Linked DNA regions of Saccharomyces cerevisiae S288C. Changing the gene in region 3 together with the main gene of any one other region gives a genetic interaction. Each region holds a gene or a part of one and is shown on either strand. Other genes may lie near its edges. The genes, in order: BNA1, SYF2, PSK2 and CYC1.

The links.
Region 1: mutations in PSK2 (region 3) and BNA1 together harm fitness more than expected from each alone (negative genetic interaction), as found in Saccharomyces cerevisiae (3 studies listed by BioGRID).
Region 2: mutations in PSK2 (region 3) and SYF2 together harm fitness more than expected from each alone (negative genetic interaction), as found in Saccharomyces cerevisiae (3 studies listed by BioGRID).
Region 4: mutations in PSK2 (region 3) and CYC1 together harm fitness more than expected from each alone (negative genetic interaction), as found in Saccharomyces cerevisiae (3 studies listed by BioGRID).

The regions. Positions count from the first base shown.
Region 1 is NC_001142.9:470,606-473,265, forward strand, and holds BNA1 (3-hydroxyanthranilate 3,4-dioxygenase), read right to left. Parts: upstream 1,067-2,660; coding exon 533-1,066; downstream 1-532. Other genes in the region: methylthioribulose 1-phosphate dehydratase MDE1, read right to left, coding at 1-359; YJR026W (gag protein), read left to right, coding at 2,155-2,660.
Region 2 is NC_001139.9:748,448-751,561, reverse strand, and holds SYF2 (Syf2p), read right to left. Parts: upstream 1,163-3,114; coding exon 515-1,162; downstream 1-514. Other genes in the region: YGR130C (uncharacterized protein), read left to right, coding at 1-168; UTP8 (Utp8p), read left to right, coding at 1,471-3,114.
Region 3 is NC_001147.6:241,788-247,365, reverse strand, and holds PSK2 (serine/threonine protein kinase PSK2), read right to left. Parts: upstream 3,870-5,578; coding exon 564-3,869; downstream 1-563. Other genes in the region: PEX15 (Pex15p), read right to left, coding at 1-216; LDS2 (Lds2p), read left to right, coding at 4,619-4,861, 4,925-5,578. UniProt on the Saccharomyces cerevisiae protein: Serine/threonine-protein kinase involved in the control of sugar metabolism and translation. Phosphorylates UGP1, which is required for normal glycogen and beta-(1,6)-glucan synthesis.
Region 4 is NC_001142.9:524,611-527,204, reverse strand, and holds CYC1 (cytochrome c), read right to left. Parts: upstream 871-2,594; coding exon 541-870; downstream 1-540. Other genes in the region: UTR1 (NADH/NAD(+) kinase), read left to right, coding at 1-321; ANB1 (translation elongation factor eIF-5A), read left to right, coding at 1,824-2,297.

The DNA.
Region 1 (2,660 bases), on a different chromosome or scaffold from region 3:
AATAGCAAGGAGCATATCACAGCATTTTGGGAGTGTGTATGTATTATAGCACCTGCATTTTTCTTTTGGTAGCACGCTAAGAACAATGGAGTACATGCGCTTGGCTTGTAAAGCTTGGGAGAGCGCAAATACTCTAATGTCTGAGCGTCCATGACAAACAAATCCTCAGGTATCATCTTCTCCTTCTGCACCCCAGATGGGGCGAGATAATAATAATTCGTGTTAGGATCTTTTATTGAAATCCCACCTCCAGTTCCGGTGCACCAATTATTATGAAAAAACTGCTTGCATAGCGTGCAAATGAGATTTGCTGGATGGCACGGATCATCTGAATGTATCAGAACATCTTGTGAAGACATAGTCGTTCACTGGCTCCCCTTGTTAGTTCAGTGCTTAAAAACGTTACATATCTTGATGAACAGCTAGCTGCTTTGATCAAGAGAAAAAAAAAAAAAATTGGCACCGCATCTTAGTGCCGCAATCTTACGTAACAAGAGAGCTATAAAAGTACAACTAACAACTCTTCTAATACTTAATTAGATTGAGGGCGTGCGTAGTTTAACGTCTTGCAATGGAAACATGTCCTCTTTTCGACATCATTTTCAAAATCTAAAATGGCTTCTTTCACTTGGGTACCTAAGTCTAACATTTGCAGTTCACTCTCGTGGACCACTTGGCGACAATGAGAACAGTACCACCTTATCTTATCGTTTTCTCCCCCAGGCCTATCTTGTTCCACAACAATACCCACAGTATCAGCAAACCGAACAGGACTGTGAGGAACATTTCCTGGCAATAAATATGAATCGCCTTCATTGATGATGATATCAATGAACTTTGGTTCAGCGTCTGTCTCATCCACAACCTTTAAAAGCATAGATCCTTTTTTTTGATAGAACCATTCGGGAGTTGGATTGATGTGATAACCGGTTCTTTCATTAGGCCCACCGACAATCATCACAGTGAATCCCCCTTTATGTAAGCAATAATTATTCACCGGTGGTTTCAAAAGGCCTTCGTTCTCCTTCAACCATTTGTCGATATTAATTGGTGTAGTATTAAACATTTTTTTCGATTTTTTTGGTAAATGTATGCTATTTCAGTTACTTGTAGACTGTCGTGAAAAGAATAAAGAAAGAATCTTTTACGTCCGTTTTTTTACTTTGCCGAATATGTTTCAGTGACTCACAATTTATCCTGACGCCGTCACAAAGGCAGCCATTCCATTGCAATAACGACACTCTGAATATTCACGAACGTTCACCAGACATTTGGAGGCAGCGTTCTAAATGCCGATACCCGTTCAGGAGTACAGGTGTCAGTGACAGAAAAATAATGGCACCGTTGACGTCGAAAATACATCCGCGCAAATTTTGACAGGCTATTTTGGCAGCGCAATCAAAGAATAAACTTGGTATAGTAAGGAAGCCAGTTACTGTACGCATGAATTACGGTAGCTTTTTTTATTTTATTTATTTTTTTTTTTTTTGGACAAATAGAAAAATTTTTATTATTATGTAAGATTATTGAAGTAAAAATACAATTGGACGAATCTAGTTAGATTGCCAAGATGTGTTAAAAGGCAAGATTAACTTATGAACATGATCTACAACGTCCTGGTTTTTAAATTCGAGTAAATACGCCTCCTTTTTATCTGTGAATGACAGTCCTGTTCTCCCAAGTCTTTTTACATCATGGAGACGGGAGTTATACTCTCTCGGGTACAAGGTTCCTTCAGCATCAGAACAGATCACAAACTTTATCGCAACAACAATTCCTTTATATTCCTGGGAAAATATGTCGGTATAGCCTACTCGAGACGGCTTCCAAACATCAGCTTTCGTTTTAACATGTTGCTGTTGGAATAAAAATCCACTATCGTCTATCAACTAATAGTTATATTATCAATATATTATCATATACGGTGTTAAGATGATGACATAAGTTATGAGAAGCTGTCATCGAAGTTAGAGGAAGCTGAAACGCAAGGATTGATAATGTAATAGGATCAATGAATATAAACATATAAAACGGAATGAGGAATAATCGTAATATTAGTATGTAGAAATATAGATTCCATTTTGAGGATTCCTATATCCTCGAGGAGAACTTCTAGTATATTCTGTATACCTAATATTATAGCCTTTATCAACAATGGAATCCCAACAATTATCTCAACATTCACATATTTCTCATGGTAGCGCCTGTGCTTCGGTTACTTCTAAGGAAGTCCACACAAATCAAGATCCGTTAGACGTTTCAGCTTCCAAAACAGAAGAATGTGAGAAGGCTTCCACTAAGGCTAACTCTCAACAGACAACAACACCTGCTTCATCAGCTGTTCCAGAGAACCCCCATCATGCCTCTCCTCAACCTGCTTCAGTACCACCTCCACAGAATGGGCCGTACCCACAGCAGTGCATGATGACCCAAAACCAAGCCAATCCATCTGGTTGGTCATTTTACGGACACCCATCTATGATTCCGTATACACCTTATCAAATGTCGCCTATGTACTTTCCACCTGGGCCACAATCACAGTTTCCGCAGTATCCATCATCAGTTGGAACGCCTCTGAGCACTCCATCACCTGAGTCAGGTAATACATTTACTGATTCATCCTCAGCGGACTCTGATATGACATCCACTAAAAAATATGT
Region 2 (3,114 bases), on a different chromosome or scaffold from region 3:
GCCTTGAAGCAAGAAATATTGAGTAGGCAGCACAAACAAGCTGAAGGTATACACGCGGCTGAAAACCACAAAATACCAAATGACCGTTCACAAAAGAATACGAGCGTCCTTCCAAAGGACGATTCCTTGTATGAATATCATACTGAGGAAGACGTCATGTATGCCTAAAAAAAATAATATTCCACTTTTGTTCAAGGAATATCCCACCTCTATTTTATTTTTCTCTTCTATTCTTTGTCGAGTATCATCAAGTTATCCTTTGATTATTTTCACCCTTCCTAATCTACCTCTCTTTGTAACCGTTTTATGTACCAATATTTACTCAATCAACAATTTATCAACCAGTTAGTTATTCTCTAGTGTTTCGTGCTCAAATAACCGAGTAAGATGGACTCTCTTCTGAAGCACTTTTGCGGGCATTTAACCTCAGCTCGTCACGTGACGGTCGATGAAAAATCCAGGGTATTAAAACTTTCCTTTGGTTATATCGGTATATTCTAAATAAAAGAGAAGCTTATTCTGATCCTTTTGATTCCCTGCTCAATTTTTCATTGAATTGTTTATTTTTGTCATTAATGAAGCTTTCAACCCCATACAGTGTTTTTGCATTTTGCATTTGTCTTTTTCTTGCTTCGTATCTTTTTTTCGACTCAGATTGCAAAGAAACGGCCAACTTATTAACTAGCTTGTCGTCATCTGCAATTGTTATCTTACCCGTCTTAGTGTCCTTCTGTACCTTGCCGATTCTACCCTTCTTGGGTACGTTTTTATTGTCTTCTTCATCGGCGGAACTATCCTGTTTGCTCGAATTCTGTGTTTGCGTAGCGAGATTCCGCAAGGTCTTCTCATAACTCAATTTTGCAAGTTGATCATAGGAAATTCCACCTCTTTGGCTTTGCCCAGTCTTCCCTTGAGGATGCCTACGTTCCCACGCATCATATTCTTGGACAGTGTAATGAAATGCTTTCTCTTTTTCAGGACTTTCTGTATCTCCTACTGATTCATCTGCATCATTTACGTCTTCCATACTGTATACTCTTGGTTTTCGATTTGCGCTTACTTCCTGAATCTCTCTGTCAGCCAACTTCCTACTCTTTATAGATACATCTACTCTTTTCCTTTTCAACTCCTTCAGCTTCTCGTCTAATTTGTAAAAATCCATTCTTCGAATACTTTGACAAGATATGGTTTTGCTTCGCTTACAGTTCAATAGAGAAGTCAAACATTGTCATTGAGAGCCCCTCATCGCAAATATTGCTCTTTTAAGGAAAATATAGTAATATTCTAGCTTTTTTGTCATTCTACACGGAAATGTCTGTATTTTTCAAATTTTTTCATTATGCTGTAGCAGATGCCTGAAAAATTTGAAAACTTTGATGAGATGAGGTCACTGTTAAATTTGTAATATTATATGTCACACCTAGCGCTCCTTGAACAGCAAATCATTCCGGAGGATAGTAAAGATTCAAAATGCCATCCCTGTCTCAACCATTTAGACTAGCAACTCTCCCAAAAATTGCTTCATTGAGCAATTTTTCTTTACAAGCAGATTACGTTCAAGTCGCAGATGGCACCTTTAATGAATCTACAAATAACATAACGTTAGGTATTTCCGGGTCATCTATATCTCAATATATTATTAATCCTACACCAAAGTTAACATTCGATTACCCAATACCCTCTACAAATATTATCACGGCATGCAATGCTGAGAAAGGTCAAGCGAACATTGACGGAAATATAGAAGCCAGTACCGATGATGAAGCCAACAACGAGAAGACTATCAACACCCAAAAAAAAAGAAATGTTGAAATTTGGGCCTTTGGTTTAATGGTAAATAAGGGTAATTATACGCTAAATGTTATCACTAAGGCACTGGAAGATACCACTGATACCTCAAATGACCATCTGAGTGAGAGTGATATTGACAATAAAGCATACACGGGTTCAGACGAATTTTTATCTCAGTATAAGATCAAGGCGAAAGCCAAAGTCATGAGTATTAAAATTGACACCAAGAACAGCTTAGTAATTGCAATTTTACAGAACGGGTTGATTGAAATTTTTGATTTTAAGTTAACACTTTTGCATTCATTTGATATATCTTATGATAACTTAAAATATGCTAAATGGTTCACTGAAAATGGAACTGAATATGTTTTTGTTCTCTGTCCATTACAGGATGATAAAGTCTGCTATAAATTGCTCGAGCTAACAGATTGTGGCAGTGGAGAAAGTTCGCCCATAAAAGAATTATCATCTACTATCATCGAAGGATTTTCTTTTGAAAATTCAAAGCTTTGTTATCAATTTGGAAAACTTTACAAATTGAACCAGGGGAAAATATACATTTACTCTTTACCACATTGCCAATTGCAACAAGTTATTGAATTTCCGATGGTGGATAAACTCAGTCCTGGAGATGACTTAATCTCTTTCCAACCTGTTTCAGTAAACAGAGTTCTACTGACCGTAAACAACGTCATTTATCTACTAGACTTACTGCATTGTTCTACTTTAAGCCAAAGAGAATTAACTCACGTGAAAACATTCCAACTATTAAAATCTGCAGTGATCAATTCAGAAAAGTCGCATAATTCAAAAACAATAGCAATTGGTATTTCAACGAAAAATGGACCAAACCCAACGTCTTCCTTAGAAATAATTAATATTGATGTTGGAACTAATACGTTGAAGGACTCATTAGGCAAGAGTTTTCAAGTTGGAAATAATGATAGCTCAGTTATTTTAAAGCCGCTATTTGATGATAAAGACATAAATGACAAGAGAGTGAAATGTAACGACGTCAGCGGGGATTCAAGCGTTCCAGTCCTCCACTGTAATGAAGTTATTGAAAAGCTTTCAGCCCTTCAAGATAATGACATTACATCATTTGATGACATATTTTTCAAAGAACTAAAAATCAAAGAAGAACATTATACTGAAAAAGATAGATATATTTCTGATCCTGGCTTTTTGAATAAAGTTTTAGATCTAATTTTCGGAAAGTTTAGCGGAAATGATTATCCAAAAACTTTAACGTTTTTATTGACACACCCATTGTTTCCATTGAGTCGTACACGCAACTTGCTATCCTTACTAAGAGACCAACCT
Region 3 (5,578 bases):
ATCAATAAATCCAACCTCAGACATTTTTTCTAGGCAATCCTTGATATCTCTTTTTATGAAAAGGTTCACACATTCTTGAAATACTTCACTCCTCTGATCATTTACCGACTTGGTCGATTCATCACTTTCAATGAATAAGTCATCGTTAAGTAAATCCCTTAGAGAAGAATCGAGGGAATGCATAGGCAGATTGTTCATTATCTCACTTGCAGCCATTATTCACAGAACCCTCTTGTATAAACCACACCGTAGTACGTTCTGCTAGTGCCTCTTTCTGTTTACCTAACTATTTCTCTTGCCTAAATATGTAAGTCTACGATGACTTTTCTATGGTACTTGATGTCACTCCGACGGCGATAAGCCGCTCAGCGCAGAAGTTTGCCCCAAAATAGAATGAAAGAAAATACTGCATAGAGGCTGGACAAGAAGGATATAGAGCAATGATATGATATTAAAAATGTAATTAATATATAGCCAAAAAAAGAATAGAACATTTATGAAGGTAAATGGTTATGAAAATGGATTAAATTATTCTTTCCCTTTATCTTGGAGAGTACGGAAAACTAGATTTTAAGCCATTTATCTTCATATATTTCATCAATAGTAGGTCTTTTATCAACTTCTCTTGTCAAAATTCTTTTTATCAAACTGATGCATTCTTCACTGACATGTTCCGATTTATCGAACCTTAATTCACCTTCCAAGATTTCATCAATGTTGTAATAAGGATTCTCTTTATAAATTATGGTATAAAGTAGCACACCAAGAGCCCAAATATCTTGTGGTTTACCTTTGTAAGAGGAACCACCAAGGACTTCAGGTGCAGCATAGTCCATTGTTCCCACAAAAACATCGAATGGTCCACTCTTGATATAGGCAGCCGAACCGAAATCGATTAATTTTACAAAGCCATGAGAATCAACAATAACATTTTCGTCCTTTATGTCTCTATGAACAATTCCTTGGTCATGTAAATGCTTTATACTAGCGACTACCTGTTTAAACACCAGTTTAGCTTCATGTTCAACCATATCTTTTTTGAATTCGATAACATCAAATAGATCAATACTACCAGTTTCTCCATGGACCGGTGTTTCAATGTAATAATAATCGTCATCTTCAAAAAAATCTAATAACTTCAAGATATTTTCTTGGGAATTTTTATTCAAGGTCGCCATAATTTGGATCTCAGAAGGTATAGTACCTAATTTTCTATCTCTCACCCATGTGTCTACTAAAATCCTCTCTTTGAAAATCATTTTGATGACCACGATATAGTGTTCTCTGTTATGAATGCATAAATTGACTTTACCGTACGCACCCTCACCCATCACTTGCAGAATAGTAAAATCAGAAAATTTCTTTATGCGCTTTTGTGAGCCTATATTAGCCTCTGGAGTAGTCAAGTACGTAGCTTTTAAAGTAGAATTTCTTTTGTCTAGCTCATTTGTTTCCTTTTTGATTTCTTCTCCGTTTATCGGTTCAATTATCCTCATTATAAATTTTTCATCCACTTTAAAGTTGTCGTCCTTTACAAATTTTGATTTGTCCTGCGTGTACATTTTCGTTAATTCAATTTTATGTTTTAACTCAGGATCATCAACCATTGTCATGTCATCGTCATAGTTATTGTTGTCATTAGATTCGATACCTCTCACTTTACCGCAAGAAGTTTCTCGTAGTTTTTCATTCACTTGATTTAAGTCTACTTCATCGTCTGAATTAGAAATCGTTTCAGCGGAGCTAATCGACAGATCAGCCATTGCCTTCAAAGTATTCACAGGAATTTTTTCCGAAGATTTCTTGGAAGATGCACTGGAACTACCTCTACTGCCAACGACATCAATTTCGTTCTCCTTTAACATCGGTAGCTGCGAAGGAACGGTGGTATAATTTTCAATGACCACGTCTCTTGAGTGTGTAATCCATAATAATACAGCATTCGTATTCAAGACCCGTAATTGAACATCCACCTTTATCAAATTACCATCTTTGTGACAGCCGTCTAGACCAATAGAAGTGTAAAACGAGTCCTTATCATGATGCATTTCAGCCTCAATTTTTCTGAAAAAATGTTCTGTTAAAACCAATCCTTTATTTTCTGGTAATGTGATATTTAACATAGGATAAGTTTTATTGATATAAGATATCATGTCCGCCAAAGAAGGAACCAACTTAGTAACCGAACTACCGGCCAACTCGTGAAGTCGCAAGCCAAACATGTTTTTGGCGACTGATTTGTTGAAACTTAAAAGACTTAAAGTGTGACTGTCAACAATAAATAGCCCAGCCTGATAGGGCAAACTATGAATTTTTAATTTTATTTCGTTTTCCAATACGGAAGTTGTAACAGCACATGGTATATTTTCAGATAGACAATTCAACGTAAAATATCTCTCTTCGTTGACATGATTTGCCACCCTGATAGACAAGGGTAATAAATCATCATCTGCAGAAAACACTTTTCCAAAACGTACATCATCAATTAGTTTACTCAGTGAGTGACTTACTGACCCAATATCGTGAATTTCATTTGCAAATTTTACCGTTTTCTTTTCTGTCATTGGCGAAGTTGATTCTTGCTGCTTTTTCTTGTCAAAGTTTTCCAGAAAGTGTGTTGTATCAATAATGCTGTCCACTGAAAAATCTCTCAAGTTTAACATGACGTCAATGTAATCGCAAGGCGTTTTTTCAAATACGCAGACCAGTAGGCCATTCTTCCGCTTGGCCCATAGTGAAGCCCAAATCAGATTTGGTACATTATTATTGCTTGTCGAATTTGGCTGGACGATAGGTATAGTTTCTCCGGTAAACACAATTTCTTGGTTATCATCTTCTGCATTCATGATTTTCTCTAGAACAAAATTTCTGCTATCCGTATGAATAAGGTCTAGTAAAGTAAGTGCCTTGATAACATTCTTTGATATACCGAACGTTAGACACGCCAAATCATTGGCAGCTTTGAAGTTCCAGGGGTATTGTTGAGAACATGTAAAAATGGCCTCTGGACCAGAATTTTTTGCAGATGTGAAAGGATGAAGAATTCGGCTATAGTCCTGTTGTGGTTTGATGTCTGCTAAGGAGACTATATCATCGTGTTTCTCCTCATATTCATTATATTGCGATTTCGAACCTAAATCTTTGTGAGGGAACTTCTTGTAGTTTTCAAAAAATGGTTCTGCTAAACTATCTAATAAAACCTTTTTCAAAGTTTCTGATTTTTGAATGTCTGAATCAAAGTTTATTTTCTTGATATTCAATAACGATAGCATGTGTAAATCGGAAGCTCTTTCGAAGGAATTGTTTTCCAATGCTAAATTTAGCAAGAATAACAAGTTTTCTAACTCGGACTTGGCTGGATTCAGTTTACTGGCAGTATCATTATCAGGCAACACCATTAAGGACGTTGCTCTCTGTATCACGGGTCTACTAGCAGGAGATGGCATATTGGATACTAATGGTGAAATTAGAGACCCATTTAACGGATCTCGCGATGCTGATAACGTGGCAGTCTCTGTTAAGTTTCTTGTGTGTCTAAGTGAGGGGGGGTATGCTATTACGGGTGCTTTTTTCTTCAACTCATGTAAGATGTCAGGACTGTTTACCATTATTTCCAAAGACCTTCTTAAGATGGTCAACCTTACTCCCAGTGAGTTTGGTGATATGGGATTATACGAAAATGCATGCGGCGACTCATTAGGTACAGCAACAAGGTCCGAACGATCATCATCACTGAATGTTGACGAAAACGAATCGACGGACGAGGAAGCGTGTTGGTACAAGCATGGAGGTTTAGAGAGCCCTACCAACGGGGTATTTTTAGAATATGAAATGTCGGCAGGAGCGGCTGCACTAACCGGGTATGTCATTGTGTTCTTTGTTTATGATTCTTTACTTTAATCTAGCAGGGCAGAGGAGTAACAATAAAACGCCCTGCAAAGAAGTATGATTACTGTTCTTGCCAGACTTAGAATTCTAAGTGTTAAAAGTCACCAATAAGGAAGGAAAAAAGTTTATGATAGTTTATACTGTTGTTGTTACTACCTGCTCCGTTATGTTTCTAACAAGGAATAAAACAGGGTATAGACGTGATGTCAGCTTAAAGAGGAAAACGAAATATGTAAACTTTGTTAAAAATAAACAGGGCCCCTTATTGATCGTTCGCGATGCTATTATTTTATAAGCCAGCCTTTATCGTTTCTTTTGATCTTGTTTCTTTTTCTTGTTTTTTTTTTTAACTTCGTTCTCTTTTCACGTACTGATTACTCACACCAGGAGAAAGAAGTTGAAAAATGCTGTTATTCTCTGGAACACGCTATTAGATAGTACTTGCTGGTTCCGTAGACAAACAGCTCTTGCGCTTTATCACTTCGACAAGTGTCTTTACAGCTTCGCGATGACATATCGTCTCTTGCCCCTGCCCCACCTGTAACAATAGCTTGGCCAAAAAAGAAAAAAATGTTCCGACGAATTTTTCCGCTGATTTTGGCTGATCGCGTCGCGCCACAAAAACGAAACTTCCATAATAAAACATTATATAAAGCTTTTTATTATTATTATTATTACTTTCTTAGTTATAGCATTAGAACTATAAGAGCTGCTAAGACACCAAGCAAACATGTCGACTAGACCCCAACCTGATTGGTATTACCATAGACATCCATATGCCTCTACGCCACTGGCAGAAGGGGAGGAACCACAATTACTCCCCATCCAAGACCAAGGGAACCATAAGAAATCAAAAATTTGGATGGCATACAAGGCTCCGATAGTTCGATGGTACAAGAATGCTATGCTTGTTAAAGACAATTTTTGGAAAGACCTAGAGTCGTCGCACCAGATCATCTGGTATCCGTATAAAGTATGTTGATGTTCCAATAAGCAGATCATGTTTTTTAAGCCGTCATACTAACCGCCTTTGAAGGGAATTAGCGAATCCGTGGGAAACTCGGATTATTTGCATCTATTTTTCCTAATATTTGGATACTACCTGCTGAATCTCCTGCTTATTGTTGCGTTTACGTCAATCCTTGCGTGGTCCTTGTTAGTGTGCATCTATTTGCCCTTTCTCGGACTCTTTGCGTTACCTCTGGCTTATATGCAAACTATTCTGATTTCCACAACGCTATGTAATTCTATGGTGAAGGGTACCGATTTCGTTCTTTTCACACGTATTTATGGAGTGACGTTCGCAAGAAAGGGATTAACAGAGTTGAGTGAAGCCTGTGAAACGATAAGTTTCACGCCCTTTGTCTACAGAAGGTCACATCGTTTGGGTGGCCTCTTTTCGAAACGGTTTTACCTCGTCTCTTTGCCGCAGTTTTTCATTTTTTTCTTCTGGTACATCTTCATAGCCTTTATGTTTCTTTTATTGTTGCTCGTTCCAATAGTGGGTCCAATTACAATCAATATGCTACCATTTAGCCCCGGAATGGGATTTTACTATTTTGAGCCTTATTTTGTTGACGTGCTACATTTGGATTCGCGCAAACTTTCCAAAGTTTACTACAAGGGCTTTGCCAAGTGGCTCCTTTACTCGATATCCAGCGGTTTATTAGAGTCTATTCCCATTCTGGGT
Region 4 (2,594 bases), on a different chromosome or scaffold from region 3:
ACCGTGGAAGCCTCGCCCGATGAGTTTATTAACAGTATCAGTCGACAACTAAACTGGAATGTGAGGGAACAACAAAAGTCCTTTACGCATATTTTGTCCCAAAAGAACCAAGAAAAATATGCACATGAGGCGAACAAAGTCAGAAATCAAGCAGAACCTTTAGAGGTAATAAGAGATAAATACTCTCTGGAAGCAGACGCTACTAAGGAAAACAACAACGGAAGCGATGATGAGAGCGACGATGAGAGTGTAAACTGCGAAGCTTGCAAATTAAAGCCTTCGAGCGTCCCAAAACCTTCTCAAGCAAGGTTTTCAGTATAATGTTACATGCGTACACGCGTTTGTACAGAAAAAAAAGAAAAATTTGAAATATAAATAACGTTCTTAATACTAACATAACTATTAAAAAAAATAAATAGGGACCTAGACTTCAGGTTGTCTAACTCCTTCCTTTTCGGTTAGAGCGGATGTGGGAGGAGGGCGTGAATGTAAGCGTGACATAACTAATTACATGATATCGACAAAGGAAAAGGGGCCTGTTTACTCACAGGCTTTTTTCAAGTAGGTAATTAAGTCGTTTCTGTCTTTTTCCTTCTTCAACCCACCAAAGGCCATCTTGGTACCAGGAATATATTTCTTTGGGTTAGTCAAGTACTCTGACATGTTATTTTCGTCCCACAACACGTTTTTCTTGATATTGGCATCTGTGTACGAATACCCTTCAGCTTGACCAGAGTGTCTGCCAAAGATACCATGCAAGTTTGGACCAACCTTATGTGGGCCACCCTTTTCCACGGTGTGGCATTGTAGACATCTAGTCTTGAAAAGTGTAGCACCTTTCTTAGCAGAACCGGCCTTGAATTCAGTCATTATTAATTTAGTGTGTGTATTTGTGTTTGTGTGTCTATAGAAGTATAGTAATTTATGCTGCAAAGGTCCTAATGTATAAGGAAAGAATATTTAGAGAAAAGAAGAAAACAAGAGTTTTATATACATACAGAGCACATGCATGCCATATGATCATGTGTCGTCGCACACATATATATATGCCTGTATGTGTCAGCACTAAAGTTGCCTGGCCATCCACGCTATATATACACGCCTGGCGGATCTGCTCGAGGATTGCCTACGCGTGGGCTTGATCCACCAACCAACGCTCGCCAAATGAACTGGCGCTTTGGTCTTCTGCCATCGTCCGTAAACCCCGGCCAAAGAGACCGGAAAGATCGGTGAAAACATCTTGATCTTGCTCCCGGGAATTTTAGATTCAGGTAGGAAATTGATTACATCAATACTGTTACCCTGAATCATATTCGACGATGTCGTCTCACACGGAAATATAATTCATTTCTTGGTTTTCCAAAAAAATTTTCATTTTTTTTCACTTTTTTGTTTCGTCCTCCTTTTTTTTTTTTTTTTTTTATTTTTTTTCCTGTGTTCACCTTTTTTTTTTTCAGTTGACATCTTTCTGCATTCTTTTCTGTGTTTTTTTTTTTTTTTTTCGTTTTTCCATTGTTCGTTCGTTGCCTGTTTTTTCGCCCTATTGTTCTCGAGCCTAAAAATTTTTTCCTTTCCTGCTTTCCTTTCTTCGTTCAAAGTTTCCTATTCCATTGTTCTCTTTGGTAAACTCATTGTTGTCGGAACTCAGATATATTCAGGTCAATTTACTGTACTTCAATTGACTTTTTTCTTGAAATTTCAACTTGCCTTTTCAACTTGTTCTTCTTTTTTAATCTTATTCTACACTTTAGTTCCCTTACCTTGTTCCTAATTATTGTCTAGCAAAAAGAAAACATACACCTATTTCATTCACACACTAAAACATGTCTGACGAAGAACACACCTTTGAAAATGCTGACGCTGGTGCCTCCGCCACCTACCCAATGCAATGTTCTGCCTTGAGAAAGAATGGTTTCGTTGTCATCAAAGGTAGACCATGTAAGATTGTCGACATGTCCACTTCCAAGACCGGTAAGCACGGTCACGCCAAGGTCCATTTGGTTACCCTTGATATCTTCACTGGTAAGAAGTTGGAAGATTTGTCTCCATCCACTCACAACTTGGAAGTTCCATTTGTCAAGAGAAGCGAATACCAATTGTTGGATATTGATGATGGCTACTTGTCCTTGATGACCATGGACGGTGAAACCAAAGACGATGTCAAGGCACCAGAAGGTGAATTGGGTGACAGCATGCAAGCTGCTTTCGATGAAGGTAAGGATTTGATGGTCACTATCATTTCTGCCATGGGTGAAGAAGCTGCCATCTCCTTCAAGGAAGCTCCAAGATCTGATTAGATATTTTAGATTTCTATAGCTTACAAAATACGCGATGTTTTTTTGATCTAGAAATCTTATTTATACATTTTATATAATATTATAATAATCATAATCATAATTATTCATCCTAACTAACTTCGTTCTGTTTCAGCTACGAAGTTGCCTTCATTATCGCTACGTTCGTGTTAATTGGTGTTTGATACCATAGTCACTTATGACGACGTGCAGAACTTTTTTTTTTGACGGATATTTTCCCCTCAATATGCCGAGGATGATTACTTTATAATTTGCCTTCTTTCGGTTCCTTCTTCTTTT